4 linked regions of the Drosophila melanogaster genome follow. The protein of the gene in region 1 interacts with the protein of each later gene in a pairwise test. Each region holds a gene or a part of one and is shown on either strand. Other genes may lie near its edges. The genes, in order: CG11964, c12.1, GstE1 and CG8617.

Region 1 (5,854 bases):
TCATTGTACTGGATTTGATGTTTTCTGTCCAGGCTGTAAGTATATTTCACCAATAATAACCCTTTCCATTCATTAACCTATGTTTAAACCTAATGATTTGTAACAACTTTCAATGATTACCTGTAGTCTTCGCATTGGATGCTAAGCTGCGATTTGATGACAACGCCGAGTTTCGTCAGAAGGAGCTGTTTGCGCTGCGCGATTGGACCCAGGAGGATCCCAAGGAAGTCGAGGCTGCCAAATACAATCTGAACTACATTGCCCTGGATGGCACTATCGGCTGCATGGTGAACGGCGCCGGTCTGGCCATGGCCACCATGGATATCATTAAGTTGTATGGCGGTGAACCGGCCAATTTCCTGGATGTCGGTGGTGGTGCCACTGCCGAGGCGGTCAAGGCCGCCTTCAAGATCATCACTTCCGATCCGAAGGTGCTTTGCATTCTGGTCAACATCTTCGGTGGTATTATGCGTTGTGATGTCATTGCCGAGGGTATCATCTCCGCCACCAAGGATCTGAATCTGAACATGCCCGTGGTTGTGCGTCTTCAGGTGAGTTTTCATGGATGCATTTATCTGACTTGCTGAGATATGCTAAACAAAACTGGTTTGCATTGCAGGGAACCAAAGTCAAGGAGGCCCGCGAACTGATTCGTACATCTGGACTGAAGATTCTGGCCCGCGATGATCTAGATAAGGCTGCCGATCTCGCCGTGCACTTGGCGCAAATCGTCAAACTGGCCCGCGAAATGAAGATGGACGTGAACTTCGAGATTCCCGATGCCCAAAAGTAGATAGCTCCATCAGTTACCGGCTAAGTCAACACTCATAAGCACACGCAGACACAAAATGAAAGTCGACAAAAAAGTAGAACCAAAACCAAACATTTACTCTAGCCACACGTAAACTACTCAATGAAACTATGCCATCGGTTCGTAGTTAGAGCATTATGTATTCGTAACGATCGGTCGAACAATTGATGAATTAATTTTGCAAAAATGTTAAGTTTAAAGCTGTTTAAAGTCCTAAGGATATGTCATAGATAATTCGAATAATCGAGCAAGTTGAGTGTTCTCTTTGCACCTAAACAATTTCTATATTGTATCTTAAATAGTCAACAACATTAATTGCACGTGAATAATAGAAAATGGAAATGAAAATACGTTTTAATTGTGATTTTTGCAAAAGTTCATTTAAATTTTATTTATTGAAATGTGACCCTGCTTTTAAAGCAGATCCATCATCTTGTGTATTATCCTATTTAGTTTGCTTTAAATTAAAACACCAAACAATCATACACCGAACCTGGCTTTTGCGTTATTCAAAGACTGCTTAAAACAGTGCGTTTTAGTTCATTTTTAAATAGAGTCTTACTAACTTTAATCACTGCACCTTAGGGGCAAGGGCGATTGCAAGAAAGATCAAAAACAGCCCGACAGTAAAGGTGGCAAGAAGTCGGAGAAGAAAGATGACAAGAAATCTGATTGCACAAAAAAAGAGGAAAAGAAAAAGGAAGAAAAGAAAGACATTTGCGAAAAGAAAGGTAAAAAGTAAAGGGATACAAATTTTGTAATAAACAATGCAGGATCGAGCCGGATGTGTTTGAGACTTACACCATCAAAAAGAAGGAAGCCATTGTTTAAATTCAAAATCCAAATTTGCCACAAAAGTTTCATTGTTCAAAATTTTAATCTCAAATTTCAGATGTAAACTTCTGACCCGCCACATTTTTAAAGATTTTCATAATATTTATGTTTTGTTTATTGTGTGTTGAGCCTTAGAAACGATCGACTAGAGATAATATGTGGTTCTGCTCCTGTTCCCGCCAGTCGGTGTCGCCATCGCCCAGGTTGCCAGCGTATTCTGTGAATGAATTTGAAATTTGAACATCTAAGTTTTACTGGGCATTCCATTTGTGGTTTACCCCTCATTATGCTGCGAATGGTCTTCATGGAAGCGCCGCGCAAGTTAAGGATCTGCAGTACACGCTGCTTGACGGTGTCGCCAGTGGCACTGACCTCCAGCAGGATGTAGTCGATGCGCTGCAGCGTGAACAGCCCGCCGGTCAGTCGTTTTATATAGTTATTCTCCGCCTCCTCGTCCTCATCAATGGTGGGATCCTATGCCATGATATTGGTTTTCAATTGATTAGTTTATGGTTACACATAAAACTTCATTTCGTACCTTAGCCTGCTGATCGATCTCCTTGTCTATGGCTTCCACCTTGGCCAGATACTTGAGGTGCAGCTCCAGCAGGCGATCCACCTTCTCGTGATCATTCTCCGTGAACTTGGCCAACATTCGCTGGCGGTGTGTGCCCTTGCAGTTTCGCAACATTGATGCGATTACGGAGGTCACATGCTCCTCATGCTCATCGGCGGAGATTAGGCGCTGCTTGTTGCGCTTGGGGGTTTTCATAAAGAGTGGGAAGATGGTGCGCAAGCCGAGAATTTCGACAAACTTGTTGCAGTTGTCTCTGCCATCCTGGCCAGCCATGGCATGATCCAACACCTTGAGCGATCCATTTCTAGACATCTTCTTCTCGCGCAGCATTAGGTTCATCAGCTGCAGACCCTCGCCGCTGAGAAAACGATCGCGATTCTCGCGGGCCATCAGAGCGGAACAAAGGCAATTGAAGAGGTTCTGCATGTACTCCTGCTCCTCGTTGCTAGCGGGATCGTGTCTCTTGTAGACAGCCAGCTGCTGGAGCAGCACATCCACGCCATCCAGAGAACCCAGCAGTAATCGGTTCTCGTTCTCCGTTTGTATAAGTATGGAAAGTATCTCGCTGCAGTAGAGTTTGTTGGGATCGAAGGGCGACTTGCCGCGCAGCCGTTTCAGCAGCCAGGCGAGCAGTCCCTGTTCAGCGGCTTCCTTCACGAATTCCGAATCGATTTCGGTAAGATTTTCCACTATGGCCAGCGTATTATGCACGCCATCGGCTTCCTCCTTAACCTGTTCGTTCAGTCGCTCCAGATTCTGGACAAGCAGAGCACAGATTTGCTCTTTTCTCAGTGCTTCAATCAAGGATTCGGCACCCTCTTGACTTTCGCCCAGGATATCAACATCGGTCACTTCTTGCAGCAGATCTACCACGGCCACGGCTATGTCTGTGTTCTGATGTGCCAGCAGTTCGAGCAAACTGTGCAGGCCGTGCAGATCCACGAGAATTGGATACAGATCGGGCACCGTGGCCACGCCCTTCAGCTCCTGGATTACCGTGTGCAGCTCCACCTCGGAGTCCATGAACTTCTCGGGACTGTCGGCAAACTTGATGCGCATCTCCTGGTTCTTCAAGTTACGCTTCTCGAACACCAGTATCAGTTTCTTCAGGCTCTGCTCATCCAGAACATCGCCATCGGCCTCCTCGTTCTCCACGTACTTCAGGATGTTCAGGCGTTCCTCCTCTGTCAGTTCCGGATCGAATTCAAAGGCGGAAGTGCCACTGCCACCGGTGGCTCCTCCACTTTGCTTGACATAGTGTGCGGACTCCTTGGCATCGGCGATGCGCCGCATGCGTTTGGTTTTCTCATCGACACCGCCCCGTTTTCCGTGCGAGCTCGCCAAATCGAATTCATCGTCCTCGTCGTCGTGCGGACGCTTTGGCGTCTGTTCCGGCTACAGTTTGGAATGGTCCAGGTGCATGAATATCATTGGTATTATCCATATATTTACCTTAAACGCCAGCAGTTCGCCGATGTCCATTTTTGCGGGCCTTAAAAAACAATTAGTGCTGGAACGTTAGGCGATTCTTCAGCGATACTATCGAACGTGAACCGCACGTGAATGAAGATAGGTTCAGAACCATGATAAGCATGACTTAGCGGAGACTCAAGCCCTTTAACCCTTAGAAGGTGACATCATTATTTTGTTTGAATCATATTTAACTTCAAATTAATTCATAATTCTGATTTCAATTTGTGATTTAAATTTGTTATTACCTACATTTTATATAAATCAAAAATTAATTCAAATTTTAATTCGCTATTATATATTGCTTTTCGATATTTGTGCTCTTCAAATGTTACTTGAATTATAAGATTTTGTTTAAATAAATATATAATAATAATAATTACTAGGCAATTTTACAACATTTTATAAAGCAAAGCTAACAATCCTAAAAGAGCTTTAATAAGTTTAAAAACCTAGAATATGGTTTATAATTTCTGTATTCTTTAAATAATTAATACTTTTAATATGAAATTTAAAACTAGCAACTTGAACCCATTAAACATTTCTTTCGCCCACCCAGCCTCCCAAAAAGGGGCCTTTGGCTGTTTTAGCCCAGCGCCTGCGACTTTGACGACGAGTTTACATAAATTCCTAAAGGCCAAGCCCCAAAAATAAATTTACAACTGCTTTAAGCTCTGGCAATTCAACAAGTTGTTCGCGTCTATGAGTGTATGTGTGTGTGAGTGAGTGTGCGCTAGTGTGTGTGCTTTCTTCGAGCCAGTCTTTTTTTTTCAAGTCAGTTCGTCAGCGTGATTTGGCGTTGTTGTTGCTGCCTGTGCAGTTGCCATTGGTAGTGGTATTGGTATTAGTATTGTTGCTGTGGCTCCTGCCGCTTTTTTACTTTTTTCTGGCTTGTTTCATGCTGACCCACTTTTAGTGGCAATACGTGAGCCCGAACAGTGGGGCAAAACCTTAGTGAAAGCTTCGCTGTAAAAGAGCTTTAAAAATAGAAAATATATGGGAATTTTAAAGTGATCATATAAGCTATAGCTCAATTACGAAGAATAATAGAAAATATTTTAAAAATGAAATTACCTTATTTTCACTATATTTATAATTGTAAAAGTGCTTAGATTAAATTCAAAATAAATAATGAGTTTATGGATTTTGGCCACACTGTGCCGGGCAAAAAAGTCATAAACTGAATTGCCAACAGGTTATGGCGACTACCACGAAGACGACGGATGGCTTGTTTGCTGTTTTTGTTGCTGCGGCTCGACTGCGGCGGAGTAGTAAAAAGGGCCATGACAGTGACACTTTGAAGTTTGAGGTTAAATCGTCAATGTTGTTGCCTTGGTCTTGCTCTCTGGCTGGCATTGGTTGCTGTGTGGATGTGGATGGGGCTGTCTCACTTGGGGAATATACCCATAATATTTTGTGAGGCATTATTGTACCGCACATCGAATGCTGCCTTGCACTGCACTCCATTCAAAAGACTTAGGCAGCGAACTTGGAAAGAAATTACTTTGAACTCACGCATGCTCGCACGTTTTTTATGTTTTTCTTATTAATTATTTTTTTTTTTTGCCTGCCTGTTTTGCCGCATCTACACTCACACACGAGCTGGGATTTGAAAAGTGAAATTTCAAAGTAGAACAAGCGGCAACGGCAGCAACAACGCCGCACGTTTGGAGGTTCCAATAAAAATGGGGTCACTTGTCGTTGGCCAGTCGGTTGAAGTAGTAGAGCCCCCCCCCCCCTCTACCGAAAGCCCCTCGAATAGCCAACTCGGAACCCCACTGACCATTGATCGCATAGATCACGCGCCGTCTGCTCATGTTGTTGTTGTTCTGTAGTTGTTGCCGTTGTGCATTGTAAATTAATTGCAGTCGCGTCGCGTCTGTTTTTGGATTTTTTGGCTTGAACCGTTCTCAACCAGTTTTAGGCCATCCATCGTGTGTGCCATTAAAATGCAACACGAACTTGACAACGGAACGGAATAAATGGTGAAATATTTCTCTTCGAGCTTAAAGACTTTCCCTGTGACTAGATATAAGTTCTGTAAAGTGATTGTAAAACCTTTATGTCAACATACATACAAGTTATATTCATTTCGCTTTTGAATTTGCATCCGGTGTATTCTTGCCTTTGATCTTGTTACAATCATTTAAAAACGGTTAGCC
Region 2 (5,196 bases), on another chromosome or scaffold:
CTGATTGCTTCCAGCAATGAAATATCTTACATATATTCTGCACATTATTTTCTCCCAGTGCATTGGCAGCTTGAATGCAGATTGGCTACGAACTGAACCCAACTCGACGGACCGTCGTCTCTCTCTTTTGATGAATGCACAAATAATGGGGATGCATAATGCCAAACAGGAAATAAATTACGCTCATTCGGAGTCGGGGATTCGGCATTCGTTGCCTCACTGCCACCGTAGGAGGATGGCAATGTGCAACTTGCAACTTGCAACTTGCGTCTTGCAACCTGCAAACTGAAAACTCCAGACAACGGACTTTGGACGGATTAAGGAATCAGAATCTGAAATATGAATCAAAATCAGAAGCAGGCAGCGTAATAGCAACAATCATCATGATTACCATTAGCGGCATCATCATTCCGATACTGCTAATCATCATTATCAATCATAAGACAGAGAACACTGGGCAACAAAGTTAAGTTAACTCTGCATAGAAGTAGCAGCATTGAATGCCACCATGAATCTATGATTTATGAGTATAAAATATTCAAAATAAACATGTCATACAATTTAATGGCAATCATTAAGTATATAGTTTATTATTATTATTATTATTAACTGGCAATGAATGGAACTATTTTACCAAAACTGTTCTTTCTATCTTATTCATAAATACCCCTAGTTTCACTCCATTCCATATGTTTCCAAACTTTGTTGACTAGTGTGCGCGGATCATCATCGCTTTTGCCAGCTATGGGCAGGCTAATTTTGTTTGATTTTGATTCAGATCGAATTAGCGTAAAATTGAGCGTTCGTCAACTTTTGGGAGCGGGGTCGCGACCACTCACTGATCCCTGCCAGCGCCAAGGGGGGGTGGCAGGCATCCAGTCGGATGAAGATTCAGGTTGGGATTTAGATTCGAACTCGCAGGCGGAACGTGGGCTCATTGACAAAGTCGGAGTTCAGATCATCAGATGGCGCAGGCCGCGTGCGGGGCATTAAAGAGGCGTGGAAATCAAGACCCACCGGATGATTTGCATTCGCAGTGGCTTCTGCTGCACTGGAAACAATTATCACTTCGATTTTGAACTTTTAAATGAGAAATAAACAGAGTGCGTTAGAATTTGTACAGGTATTCTTGCGCATTGCCCATCTAAGCATTTTTCAATCAAATTTGATGGATATTATGCAGCTGCTGTAAAATTAATTTTTAATGTTTTACCTGCATTTCGAGCAGTGTAGCTCTCGGCGTAATTGACCAAGTTATTCTGCGCTTGCTTGGCCCGGCTCCTTGGGGCAAATTGATTTTGCTTCGTGCCTCATCAGCAGCGACAATTGCCCTTGCCCTGATCGCCATGATGATTGGGCTTCCTGCGCTTCTTGGGCACTTCTTCGTGCGCTCACGTAGCAGCTACCCCTCTCGCCCCTCTTTCCAGCGCTTACCCTTTTCCCTGACCCTGACCCCCCTTGACATCCTGGCCCGCCGCCTCTGGTGGCTGCTGCTGTTGTCCCTCGACCGGCTACCGATGTTTTTTGCGGTTTCACACTTTGGTTAAGGTTCCTGCCCTTCGCACTCGGACTTCCACTCGCGGTCAGCCGCCAGTCATTGGGTCACAGCCCGCAGAAGGAAGATGGCCCAAAGTGCCTATTCGTCAAATAAAGTCGACCTCAATACGAATTGCTAAATAATATGAGTGTATGAGTAGGTTCTTATTTGGATTTTTAACCAAACACAAAGTATACAAAGCAATAAACCAATCGCCTATGGAACTATTCTGGCTAGCATTCCATTTAATTATTCCAAAAATTAATTACATAAGAAAGATCTTATACATACTAAAAAATATGTTTCTCGTTTAAAGAAATTTATCATTCACTGTTCAAAAGAAAACTGAAAAACTTAAAAAGCAAATGCCTTACAAAATGGTCAGTTTGCTACGTACGAAACCAATCGGTATTTAGCTTAGAAAGATTGTTTATGATTATTGGATATCAGAGTTATCTTACAAAATACGAAATTTAATGAACAGCTTGTGGGGGGAGGGGTGAAAGGACAAAGAGGGTTGACAATTGTTTTACTTAAACTATTACAAAAAAAGAGCGCGGCTGAAACTTGAGAGCGAGTCCCAGATGCTGCCTACTTAATGTACTTGTCCATGAACTTCTTGTGGAAATCGGAGCGCAGGGCGTCATTGACGAAGTGCGTCTTCTTATCGGGCGCAGATCTGGCGCAATTCTTAAAGACCACATCATCGTCCCAGCGGCGCTTTATCTTTAGATCACCGCCCAGTCCAGAGGCACGTCCCGCTGCCGAGGCGGCGGTGCCGGGCTCATAGTTCATCAGTGGATTGCCGGACAGGATGTTCTCCATGCGTATGCGTTCGTCCTCCTGCTTCTTTTCCGACTCGCGACGCGCCGTCTCCTGCAGACGTTCCTGCTTGATCTTCTGCAGCTCGGCCAGCAGGGCGGCATCATCGTCATCGGAATCGCTGTCCGAATCGGAGCTATCGTTGTCCAGCGGCTCATCGGCGTCCATATTGGCGGCCTGCTGCTGAGCCGCCTGCTGCGCTTGCTGCTGCCCTGCGTCCGGCTTGGAACGCTTTGCGGCACTGCTGCCACCGCCGGCGTTGTTCGCCTCAATCGCCTTGCGTACAATGGAGGGCAGTGCCTTGCCCGACGACGACGAAGTGGCTCCCGTTCCGGAGCGCGCCTCACGTTCGCGCTCCTCCAGCTCCTTGCGGAAGTCACGGTTGCGGTTCTCATCGCTGGTGCCCTGGCCAGTCTCCCTGCGCAAACACAAGTTCTCGTTAGACAAGGAAATTGTTATGTGGGCTACTATTAATCCTTACCTGTATTTCAGTTTCGTGTGGCCTGGCAAATCGCGACTGGAGTACTGCTTGCTCAGTGCACTCAGATCCTTTTCGCCGCGACCGGATCCTCCGCGGGCTGGATCGAAGGTCGGACGCGCTGCTGTGGTCATTTTCAACTAGCTAGTTATGCGTTTAATTGTTAAATTGATGAAAAGTGAAATGAATTTCCGAACTGCGTGCTTTGTTTGATGTATCAACAGTACCAATAATCGAGCCGTACCACGGTCACACTGACCGATAGGCCTTTCGATACACGCTTAGTGCGGACTTTAACCGTGATAAGGGCGGCTATTGCTGGGCATCACTGGAACATCAGCTGTGCGCACCAATGGGCAGCATTGTTACGGTAAACACGCGCGGAGCACCGCCGTTTTATCCGACAAACAAAAAAACGCTGAAAAACAAAACTTTTCGGCAACTTGAAGCGATTTTAAGTTTAGTTTAGCCAACCCCCTGCTATCCATCCCCCACCGACGGCCATGCTGGCCAATTTGCGCGCCTGCAGCGGCCACCTGTTGCATCACAGCCTCCGAAATGCAAGAATTCCACGACGAAGCTGGGCGAGCACGACTGCTGGCAAGGATCAGCCGGAGGAGGACAGCCTGACCATCGGCGATGTGAGCGTGCGGCTGCGCAAGCCCAAGGATCCGCAACTGGTGCCGCAGCAATACGGTGAGCAGGGGGATGCCGGGAAGTGGGAAGCCAAGATCTCTGGACAGTGCAAAGGTCAACATAAAGATCTTGGTGCCGCAGAATTATTTCATCATTATCATTATATCATGTCATTATATCATCTTTGAGTAGCAGACACATCAAGGATTAAAGAGACCACGGATCTAAAGCGAAGGAATGAATGTAAAACTCATGGTCATCGAGAAAAGACCACTATAATCTCAAGAAAATTCCTATGTGAAAACAAGCTACATGCTATATTTCATAATTGGCCAAATCGACAAATTATATGAGGCACAAGCTATCCGAACTCGAGACTTAATAAACTCTGTATTTGGAGGACCAAATGATTTATGTTTTAACACGAACCTTTCGTTCTTGTATCCATCCAATCCGATAGTGAAATACGCATCGGATGGCACCCTTCAGCTGTCGCAATCAGCACTGCACCACCTGCGCTGGATGCTGCAGAAGGATGCACTGCGTCAGGACATGTTTCTACTGGGGCAACCGGGTCCGCTGCGCCGCCAGCTGGCCATGCAGTTCCTGGAGCTGACGCAGCGCGAGGTGGAGTACGTGGCCCTCAGCAGAGACACCACCGAGAGCGATCTGAAGCAGCGACGTGAAATCAACGACAGGGCGGCCATCTTCCACGATCAGGGAGCCGTACGAGCGGCGCTCAATGGCCGAGTTCTTGTCCTCGATGGAGTGGAGCACGCGGAACGCAATGTCCTGCCCATACTAAACAATCTGCTGGAGAATCGCGAGATGCACCTGGAGAGCGGCAAGTTCCTGATGTCGCCGGAGCGTTACGATAAACTTCTAGAGGTATGTTAGCTGTTTCCTGTGTGCACGTTCCTAGTCCTCTGAAGCTTGCTAATCCTCATTCTCATTTGTTTTAGAAACACTCGCGGGAGCAGCTGGACGAATGGGGTCTGCTACGCGTATCGGAGCAATTCCGGGTGGTAGCCTTGGGTCTGCCCACCCACAAGTACAAGGGCACGCCACTGGATCCACCGCTGCGCTCCCGCTTCCAGTCCCGCAACGTGACCACATATTCGTACGGCGAGCTGTACGAGGAACTGCAGCAGGAGGCGCCTTCTGTGCCCGGCGAGCAGCTGAAGCAGTTGCTCACCTTCGCCTTGACCCTGCAGCAGGCGGATCCTGTGCTCCAACTGCCCGACTTTCCCATCCACAATCTAGCATTGGGTGTCAAGATGCTGGTAGGTGTACCCCTTCACATTTCCGTATAAAATACTTACTTTTCCTTCTGCTTCTTCAGGCGGCTAATCCCTCTCTGAGTCTGCACGACGTCATCAGTCGCATTTATCCATATCAAACCATGCTGAAGCCCGACCAGAAGAAGCGTGTCGAGGAGCTACTCAAGAAGCTGGATATTCAACTGGTGCCCAGCCCGAGCATCAAAAAAATCGAAGCACAGTCGCAGGAAAACTCCCTGATCCACATAAAACTGGACGAATTGCAGCTAAATTTGCCTGAAGGCCAGATTCCTACGGCTTCTACCTACTTTGTCGATCTACCGCATCAGAGGCAAGCTCTCGCCAGTCTACTGCAAGCGTATGCTGTCGGGGATGTGTGTCTCGTGGGCGAGAAGGGTGTGGGCAAGCTGACGCTGACCCAGGAGTTGCTCCGCCTCCTGCAG
Region 3 (4,889 bases), on another chromosome or scaffold:
TAAAAATGATAGGTTTTTGTTACAAATCAGTTGTAGTACTATTCGATTTGATTTGTTTTTATGGTATTTATGGCATTTGATGGTATTTTTTTTTTAATACAAATTACTATTGCTCCAGATTTAATACGGGTTTCAATAAATTGATATACTTCTTCAAGCCCCGCAGATTGTCTTCCTCATAGTGGGGCAACTTAGAGAGTCGTTCGAACCAAGCAGCCACCTTTGGATACTTTAACTCATCCAGATCAAGAACAGCGGCCAGCGAGGATGCAGTAGCTCCGCAGCATAAATCAGCTATGGTCAGTTGCGACCCGGTCAAATAGGGATTATCCCCTAGAAAGTTCTCCAAATGGCCATATGCATCTTTAATGTTGTCCACCTTCTCCTTGGGTACCAGGCTTACTTGGCGAAGAAAATAGGGTATACTGACATTTCGCAGCGACATAAACAGAATGCTGGCATCAAAGAACAAACGCTGATCCACCTGGGCGCGCAACACCAGATCCCTGGGATATAGCTCATCCGAATTGGCATACTTGTCCACCAGGTAGCAGACAATAGCATGTGAATCCCAGATAAGGGCACCATTATCTTCGAGGAGTGGTACGGTGTGCTGCGGGTTCTTTTTGAGGAACGCATCCTTAAAGTGATCTCCTGCCAGTAGATCCATTTCCTTGTATTCGTAGTCCAAGTTTAAGGCCCGCAAGGTCAGCTTGCAAGCGCGAACAGGAGGACTAATATCCATGCCATACAAAACCAATTTATCCGACATGATGCGATCACCAGAGAGACCCAAGTTCCACTAAATTTGCCACACACAGAAATCTAAACGAGCTTAACTAAACAACCCAATTGGGTGCGCTGAGCTTGCCCCATTTGTATCTTAAATAAACTTTTGTAATTGTACACTGACGATATCATAAATGAGCGATAAAAATATTACGGTCGGGTTCCCCAACTGTGAGATAATAATTACTGACTCAAGTCCCATATTAAAGTTTATAAATTTCAGTATTTATTATAAATTCAAATATTTAAATAAATATAAATTAAATAAAAAAATAAATTAAATATTTTATATATATGTTATATTTTATTGAAGAAGTTTACGTTTTAGAAATGGATGTGTATGTTGTTAATTGATGGAATTCAAACTTGTGAAATGTCATATTTAAATATAAGTTTAGTTTCACTTGTCGCCCAGCTTGGTCCACTTGCTGCGCAGGAAGGCGACGTAGCTCTGGGCCGGAGCTTCGTTGATCTCCTTGTAGTAGGGCAGCTTATTGAGGCGATCCAACCAGGCGGTGACCTTGGGATATGTAGCAGGATCTATGTCCACGGCAGCGGGCACGGCGCTTACAGTGGGTCCGGTGGACAGATCGGCTAGGGTTAGCGAATCGCCGGCCAGGTAGGGGCTGTTGCCCAGGAACGTCTCCAGCAGCTTCAGACCCTGGTGTACGGCGTCCAGTTTTTCCTGGGGCACTTCGGTAACACCGTTTATCCAAAACGGGCGGCTGACATTGGCTATACTGGCATAGATTACACTGGCATCGAAGAAGAGACGCTGATTGACGATCGCACGCTTGGCCAGATCCTTGGGATACAGCTCATCCGACTTGGCATACTTGTCCACCAAGTAGGCGGCAATGGCATGGGAGTCCCAGATGAAAGTGCCATTATCATCGAGCATCGGTACCGTGTGTTGGGGATTCTTCTTCACATATTCCTCGCTCAGGTGCTCGCCCGCCTGAAGATTCACCTCCTTGTACTCGTAGTCCAGATTCAGGACCTTTAGGGTAAGTTTGACGGTCCTCACACAGGGACTGAGATCTGTCCCATAGAGTACAATTCCAGAGCTCGACATGATACGTGTTGTTTACCCGTCAGTGTTTTTCTTTCGACTGATCTCTCTATTTACTGTACATATATACACACCTTATTGCCTCAAGCTTTTTGCTAAATGAGAGAGCATTTCGTAAATCTAAGATAAAAGCTCGAAACCATGTGTTAAACAGTTAAAAAAAAACCATATATATAATATGTATGCCTATTTCATCATAACAAACATTAATTACCCCCAACTGATAGTTCTGGAATCATCTATATGATACTAATTTTAAAACACCATATGCAGTGGTGAACTACAAAAAACATATACTCATCAAAAACAAAGTAGGTCTCTGTGAACTCAGGAACATTGGTTGTCAGAAGAAATTAATTTAATACAGTTACTTGTTTTATGATTTATTGTAATATACATCTATTTGAATCATGTAGAACCCATGTAAATTTACAATTCAAGTCTTCCTAACGAAGCTTGAAAGTTTCTAAAAGCTTAAAGCTTAAGTTAAGCTGGCATAAAGCTTATCGTTATTTTGGATAAAATTGTATGATCTGATACACAGAAGTAATAATATTAAACTCATAATTTTATAATTATATTTATATGAAAATGTTTGCATAGAAACACTGCTAATGAGTCTGGTTACTTTAGGTTTCGTTTGGACGTTTCTAGCAGTGTATATAAGTAGCCCCTTTGGTGCTCCAACTATGATCAAATAAATCACGGGGACATTGATCAAATATTGACACAGCTAATAGATAGCAGACCGACTTATCCCGGACATTAATAAACAATCAGGCAAACTTAAACTTGCAGCATTATGACGTCTTTGTGGTAATTATCAAGAAACTAAGTTTAATATCTAATCTTATCGCGTTTGAAAGAAATTTAAATTATTTAGACTGCCTTGAGTCAGTTGTGGATGGCACACTGTCTGCTACGAATCTCAATTCAACCAGCTAGAAGGCAATTAGTTAAGCAACCACAATGGCTAACCTGATTCTATATGGCACTGAGTCCAGTCCGCCGGTCCGTGCCGTTTTGTTGACCCTTCGTGCCCTCCAGCTGGACCATGAATTCCATACGCTGGACATGCAGGCCGGCGATCATCTGAAGCCGGATATGTTACGCAAGAATCCCCAGCACACGGTACCCATGCTGGAGGATGGTGAGTCATGCATTTGGGACTCACACGCCATCATCGGCTATCTGGTGAACAAGTACGCCCAGTCGGATGAGCTCTATCCAAAGGATCCGCTGAAGCGAGCTGTGGTGGATCAGCGGCTGCATTTCGAGACCGGTGTCCTTTTTCACGGCATCTTCAAGCAATTGCAGAGAGCTCTGTTCAAAGAGAATGCCACTGAGGTGCCCAAGGATCGTTTGGCTGAGTTGAAGGATGCCTACGCCTTGCTGGAGCAATTTCTGGCGGAGAATCCCTATGTGGCCGGTCCTCAGCTGACCATCGCCGATTTTAGCATTGTGGCCACCGTGAGCACTCTGCACCTGAGCTACTGTCCCGTGGATGCGACCAAATACCCCAAATTATCCGCCTGGTTGGCACGTATCTCCGCATTGCCCTTCTATGAGGAGGACAACTTGAGAGGAGCCCGCTTGTTGGCCGATAAGATTCGCTCCAAGCTGCCCAAGCAGTTTGACAAGCTGTGGCAAAAGGCCTTTGAGGACATCAAGAGCGGAGCTGGAAAACAGTGATGCGGAAGCCATTGTCGCATCGAAAAGAGAGCATTGCCCAAAGTAAAATTGTATGTTAAATGGTATTTAATATGATGTATTAAAACTTACGCTGCTGGCAAAATGATTTAAAATGTATATTATGTTTGAATAATCTTCTTTTTTTCCCAGTGTATAGGCTCACTATATACTGTTCTGAGTTAACTGAAGACTTTGTAGCCATCTAAGTGCTCTTGGCCGGTAAATGTCCTTGATGGCGAACATTTTTTTTATGTTGTATATAAATTACTATCTAGCGTGGAGTGCATTTCCAATGGCAACGCAGCCAAAAGTTTACAACTTTTTTGCGCTCATTAAAATTATAAAATTTTACCCTCCACAAAAGCGACACAAAATAGAAGAGGGCGGGGTAAATGAAAAGCGCAAAGTTTTCCTGCCGTGTCGTGCATGCTAAAGTTGTTAAATCATAATTAATTTATGACGGCGCCATCCGCCCAAGCAGCTAGCCAGCCCAGCTCCGCAGCAAACCCAACTCGCCCCCGTTTTATGCCACTTCCAAATTTGCCTCTTATCTGCGCTCGGGTCTCGAACTCCCCGCCCTTCGCTTGCTCCAAGTCCACAAAAAGGACGCGCCGTCGTTTAAAATACTCTTAAAAAAGGAGCCAAGTCTAAATACCTGCTGGGTGAAGTCCGTTTCCAAGCCCCACGGAAGTCCTGCAGGAGATGCTAACGTGAGCGGAAATTGGAGTCACGCAATCCGAAGATATTTCTTATGAAGCAAAAATTCCAAAACTTTTTGTTTTTATTTTGCAGATGTATGGAAATCTATAAAAAGTACATGAATTTTCCATTTGTTTCTTACTTATTTTCAATTTCTTCCCTACTTATAAACCTTTGTTGGCCTTAAAACACAAATTTTTTTAAAGCATTCCCTTCCTATTTAAGCCCCAAAGAAAAGAAAAAAAATCATAAGCTTTAACGTTTTTAGAAACTCGTGACTACTTTGTGGGCATCTCAGGAACTTACCTTGTGTCGCCGCGTTTTATGCGCCTCATTGCAACGGCGACGAGAAAGTGGTGGCAGGCAAACTAATTGGTTTAATTTCAACTTTTACTTTGGCCCAACCAGTCAGCATGCCACCCCTACTTACCCCAAACTCACCCCATCTCGCCCCGTCCACCAACCAACCCCCACATCCTTGCCAGCATGGCTCCCCGAAAATTCCACCCATCGTGTCAGTGGCATTTGAGAAGTTTGCTTTGCTTTACGCTCCGCCTGCCACTTCAGGACGCTTTTACTTTTTCTTTTTCGCTTCTACAGGATTCCACTTGGCCGGTTTATTTCCTGCTTTTTATTT
Region 4 (5,374 bases), on another chromosome or scaffold:
TTTTAAATTACTCTATAAAATTTTTTAATATTTTACAAATTGCCCGTTGCAGATCGCAAATCGATGGGTTCCTTGATGACTATGCGTTCCTCATCAAGGGCTTGCTGGACTACTACAAAGCTACACTCGACGTAGATGTATTGCATTGGGCAAAGGCGTTGCAGGACACCCAGGACAAGCTTTTCTGGGACGAGCGAAACGGAGCGTATTTCTTCTCGCAACAGGATGCACCCAATGTTATTGTGCGACTCAAGGAAGGTGAGTGGGATAGCTTTTAAGTACACTCTCCAACAATATCTGATTTCCCGAAATTTTGTTAAGACCACGATGGAGCCGAACCTTGTGGAAACAGTGTATCCGCCCACAATCTTGTCCTACTGGCCCACTATTATGACGAAAATGCCTATCTCCAGAAGGCCGGGAAACTACTGAATTTCTTTGCAGACGTATCGCCCTTCGGACACGCTCTGCCAGAGATGTTGTCCGCCCTGCTGATGCACGAGAACGGGCTGGATCTTGTGGCAGTGGTGGGACCGGATTCGCCAGACACCCAACGATTTGTGGAAATTTGTCGCAAGTTCTTTATTCCAAGCATGATCATAGTGCATGTGGATCCCTCGAATCCAGAGGAAGCCTCCAATCAGCGCTTGCAGACAAAGTTTAAGATGGTGGGCGGTAAAACTACGGTTTACATTTGTCACGAGCGAGCTTGTCGAATGCCAGTTACCGATCCGCAGCAGCTAGAGGATAACCTAATGGCGTATTTCTTCTCAAAACGTGATTAGATCCGGAAATTTACTCGAAATGTATTTTAAGAACTTCTAGATGTTAGTTAATTGTTATTGATTTGCTTCAAAAGCAAACAAAAAGGAGTTCTCGGAACTACATAGTGTTAAGATCCCGTTATTAAAGACCCCAATAGACTTGCGACTCCAGCTTATTTCACTGTTAAGTCTGAGAGACTGCATTGCTCCCTAAGTGTCTAGAGTTGGTTAAAGTTGTTGTACAAAGGCCCCTCTTCTTATTTTCATGGTATAGCTTATGTAGATTTTGAACTGCAAGGTTCTCTCCAGTTTAAAACCTATCATACCCATCCATTTGAACGAGAAAACGAGCCTGACAGTGACTAATAACCGAAATAACCTTATACATGTCCATATACAACGTTAATAAAGAAAACATACAATGTGTATTCGTTATGTAAATAATCGTTAAGGTTGGAGTAAAAAAAATCACTAATCACATCACACCATAAATGAAACCAACGTCGAGTAATCTCTCTTCTCGAATACAACACGTTTTGTGCATTTATTGGAATCGTTCTGTTCGTGGAGCTATCAACCATTCGGTGGTCGGCTGCACCTGCTCCGCCCCAGAGGCGTAGGCGTAAAACTAGGCTTTAAACTAAATGCGTGCCATGCGCTGCGTCCGCGATCCGCCACCAAACCCGATCAAATGCAGGAGTGGTGCTGGGATCTCGAAGGCCACGGCAATCGGCGTAGAAGGAAACTAAACGTATGGAGAGAACAGTTCGGTAATCGGTAATAATAATCGTAATAATAGTAGTTTGTAGTAATTAAAATAATTTAGTTGAAATTCACATTCATCACATTGGTTGGCCGACCATCTGCCATGCCTCATTCTCAACTGTTGCTGTCGTCGTCGTCCTCGTCGTGGCCTCCGCCTCTCAGGTGTCTGCATCATTGAAGCTCATTGCTGCATCGAAACTATCCACGATGGTTTCCATGCGCTCATGATGCTCAAATCGGGCGAACTTTCGCGCAAATTTCCGGCCGGATCGTGCGGTACTGTACCTCCTCGAGAAGCGCGCACGCCGAAAGAAACGGAAGCGCGTGTCCTCCTCCTCCTCGTCGTACTCCGGCGCAGACACGGAATCCTCGTCCGTTTCGCGCAGAAATTCCTTCGGATCCCGATGAATCTTAAAGATCTTGGTGGCCGTCGCCCCGTTTAACTTCGATATGGTGCGCGAGGCATTGAGTATTCCACTGGAATTCGAAATGGAATTGCTGCGGTTCTTAATAGCCGTCAGCCGGTTTGTGATGGACACCACGTTGAATAACTTTGACAGCTCCGAGTCGACGCAGCGCGATTCGCGACGCAGGTTCTTGCCATTCTTTACGTAGATGAAGTGGTTCAAGGGGCTCTGGCTCAAACTTTGGCTATCCAAGGGATGGCTTCCAGCGGAGCAGGTGGGCGAGATGGAGACGGATACGGAGTTGCTGCTGCCGCCGCACCCGCTGGTCAGCAGAGTGGGCGTGGAGGGCGGCGCTGGCGGTGGCACATGCGGCATTGTGTAGCAACGCTGGCGGCCCGAGCTCAATGAGGAACCCCCGCCCGCCGGCCCGTCGTACAGGTTGGTCACGTTGTAGCGGCTCAGGCGGCACAGCGACGTGGACTCCGGTTCCAGTTCCGCCTCCGGGTCGTGGCTGGTGGGCATGTCCATGGCCTGTGCATGTGTGTGCGTGGTTTTTGGCCAGGTTTTTCGAGTGGGTGGAGTGTGGCGAGCGGCGAGTGGAGAGCGAAGAGCAAAGTGGTGTCGTGTGTGGTGCGACGGGGCGAAAAGAAAGGGCGTTGCAGCAGCCACTGGATTAAACCTATTCATTTATCTGCGGACGCAGTGCATCCACTTACCTGCAGCAAGCCTTCGACCTCCATGTACTGGCTGTCGGTGGTGAGACGGTGTGTTTTGTGCATCAGTTGTTGATATCAGGTATATTGATTAGGAAATATATAAATAAAGACTGTCATCGATATTTGCTTCCACCTATCGGGCTGTTGTACTTCGATATCAGCAGGCTTTATTTATGTTAGACAATCGGGACCCACGGCACGTCGATAATTGGATACTTGGCGATATCGGTATTTCGGCGGCGCCACTTTCTTAACACATTTTTCAAACAAACTTTTTTCGAAAGCACACACAAAATACACGAGATATTGTTAGTTAATTTCAGACCGTTCCGTCCGACCTCGAAACTGCAACTGTATAAAATTAAAATTACTTTGACACAATGACTAATGATGTAGCATAATTTATTTAAATATCATCAAAAATGTAACAAGATGTAATCACACAACATCTGACTTCTGATTGGGATATTATTAGTAGAAAGTAAATCCAGTTAGATTTTAAGTCTGATTGTAGCCACTTGAAATTATTATACATAACGTCTAGAAGGGCTGAGACATTTAATTATATTGAAATAAAGAAACCAGTTTTAATATCATTTAATGTTGTATTTTTATATGGCATATTGTAATATTCATTTCATTCGGTGGAGCATTTATTAAATACGTGAGCTTTGTAGAGCTTGGCTAATTGCATTTTTTCTTATATTATATCAACTTTTGTTTAAAAAAATGATTCCCTGTAAAAATGTTGTCCCATCCACCCCATAAAATAAAAACAATTACGCAGTTTTCCGTTTCTGAGTTTAATGGTTGTTTTCTAGTTTCAGTCTTTAGTTTTACAGTTTTATATTTTTAGCAGTTCCACGCAACCACTTGTGGTCTTCCATAGGCCCCCACTCTGGGTTTCTGTGTGGGAATAGCGGGCCAAACTATTGCTGTGCTTGTGGCCAAGATTCCAGTTGATGGCGCACGGTGCAAGTCTGGTCAGCCGGGTCAGTTGGCTGGTCGCGCCTATGTCATCTGCACAAGCGGCCGGTTTTGCTTGGTGTGGGGGCGGGGAATGACTGTGCCGGCTGGAGGAGCACGGCAGTGACGCGTTCCAGCCCCTGACGTTTGTGTGTTTTGGGTTATATACTGGCGTGCCGAAGCCTGTCGCGAAATCGCTTGGGTCGAATGTTAAACAGCCCTAGGCCCGTGATCTCGAAGAGACAGTTTTGGCGTGCCAACCGCACGGATGGCGAATCGTTAGCCATCGTAGTGCTATGTGGGTTCGAATTGTTTTGACAAAAGTCAAAAAATTTGTTGGTTTTTTAAATCTCCGAAGAAATTTAGGTTTTGCCCGGCTCACGCCCACTGTAGCTCCACTCGCACGGGGGACATCGCGAAGGGTTGCGACACCGGAAACCGGAAGCAGCCGAAGCCGCTACCGGAAACGGGTGGCGCCCACCTTCAGGGCCGTCGAAATCCTCCTGCAAAAGGATCTAAGTGGGCATTCACCGGGCGGGGGGTTTTTTGCTAGCTTCACAAAGGACCAGGATCAGACGAAAAATCAGCAAATATATGGTTACAATAGCGATGATTGCCATGTCTCTCAACACAGTGATCATATCTTTTGATAGCCAAATAATCGCTTTTTCTCCGCTGACCGGCACAAAGTGGAGCCGGCGGTTGTGAGAATCAACGGTTGTGCGGGGCGGCTGGAGATCAGGCAACATCCATTTCAGACTCGCAATGTCAAAACATAAGATTCGAAGAAAATGGAGCTCCATGCCGAGGCACTTCACCCGCCATTTGGTTCGAATATCATATTCCTCCATTGCGAATAACCGATCTTACGGACGAAATGCCAGATCCTCAGCCGCCCCGCCCGATGATTCTCGAAATCTAGTTTCTAGTTGCAAATAAAGGTTCAATGTTGCAATAAAAATTATTGCTTTCCAAAAGCTGGCGTTCTGTGCCAAAGTAGCCGCAAGTCGGCGTGAAATTATATGAAAATAGAGCCGTTTTCGAGGCATTGCGAATAGCAATACAAACAGCGTGGATTTGTGGATTTCAGAAGCTAGTCGAGGCTTACCGGCACGCCGATTGCCAGTGAGTATGAAGAGTATGAAGAGATGTGGCTGCTGTTGCTGCTGTTGATGTGGCTGCTCCCCATCTCCAGCTCTCCGGTTGTTGGGCTCTCTCTGACGTCGATCGGCTGGCGAGGCTACGAAAAGTTCTGTTTGGGTGGGCGGCAGCAGCGATGAGGTCATCAATGACGTTGGCTGCTGCCTGTTGGTATTTGATGTTCTTTTTGTCGCCTACTCCTCGTGCTGCTCCTCCTGCCGATCCTTCTGGCGCTTACGGCAGTTGTCGAAGGTGTGCCCCCGGAAACTGCAGTAGGTGCAGCGGGTGGTGCGCTTGGAGCCACGGGTGTTCTTTGCTGTGGCAAGCTGTTCCTCGTCCTCCTGGTTGTTGTGCTCGATGATGCGGCCCTGTTCCAGGAGATCCTTGAAGGTATGGACACTGTGGCGGGAGATGTGCTTGCGGTACTTGATGTTCAGCAGACCGAACAGAAGATCCAGTTCCGTTTCCTCGTCGTGGCGACCGCTGGGCAGCTGGGCCAGCAGCGCTCGCTTCTGGATGACGAAGGTGTCAATGGGGTCATGGTCGTCCTGCTTGTTTTGGAAGAATTCCATGTAGATCTGGTAGGCGGGCTTGGTGGGCGAGAAGTGTTCGCGGA

What was found.
Region 2: the proteins of CG11964 (region 1) and c12.1 interact in a two-hybrid assay, tested with the Drosophila melanogaster proteins (one large-scale study listed by BioGRID).
Region 3: the proteins of CG11964 (region 1) and GstE1 interact in a two-hybrid assay, tested with the Drosophila melanogaster proteins (one large-scale study listed by BioGRID).
Region 4: the proteins of CG11964 (region 1) and CG8617 interact in a two-hybrid assay, tested with the Drosophila melanogaster proteins (one large-scale study listed by BioGRID).

Annotation. Positions count from the first base shown.
Region 1 is NT_033777.3:8,941,282-8,947,135, forward strand, and holds CG11964 (uncharacterized protein), read right to left. Parts: upstream 3,740-5,854; 5' UTR 3,705-3,739; coding exon 3,675-3,704; intron 3,618-3,674; coding exon 2,184-3,617; intron 2,120-2,183; coding exon 1,924-2,119; intron 1,863-1,923; coding exon 1,777-1,862; 3' UTR 1,673-1,776; downstream 1-1,672. Other genes in the region: ScsbetaA (Succinyl-coenzyme A synthetase beta subunit, ADP-forming), read left to right, coding at 33-35, 127-551, 620-789, 1,397-1,553.
Region 2 is NC_004354.4:9,316,152-9,321,347, forward strand, and holds c12.1 (c12.1), read right to left. Parts: upstream 3,073-5,196; 5' UTR 2,972-3,072; coding exon 2,841-2,971; intron 2,778-2,840; coding exon 2,129-2,777; 3' UTR 1,764-2,128; downstream 1-1,763. Other genes in the region: c12.2, read left to right, coding at 3,341-3,533, 3,666-3,716, 3,934-4,361, 4,436-4,756, 4,816-5,196. UniProt on the Drosophila melanogaster protein: Involved in pre-mRNA splicing.
Region 3 is NT_033778.4:18,395,407-18,400,295, reverse strand, and holds GstE1 (glutathione S transferase E1), read right to left. Parts: upstream 1,904-4,889; 5' UTR 1,865-1,903; coding exon 1,190-1,864; 3' UTR 1,073-1,189; downstream 1-1,072. Other genes in the region: GstE2 (glutathione S transferase E2), read right to left, coding at 107-772; GstE10 (glutathione S transferase E10), read left to right, coding at 2,831-3,553.
Region 4 is NT_033778.4:14,354,484-14,359,857, forward strand, and holds CG8617 (uncharacterized protein), read right to left. Parts: upstream 2,799-5,374; 5' UTR 2,716-2,798; coding exon 2,653-2,715; intron 2,468-2,652; coding exon 1,688-2,467; 3' UTR 1,286-1,687; downstream 1-1,285. Other genes in the region: CG8613 (uncharacterized protein), read left to right, coding at 53-258, 322-785; Arc1 (Activity-regulated cytoskeleton associated protein 1), read right to left, coding at 4,953-5,374.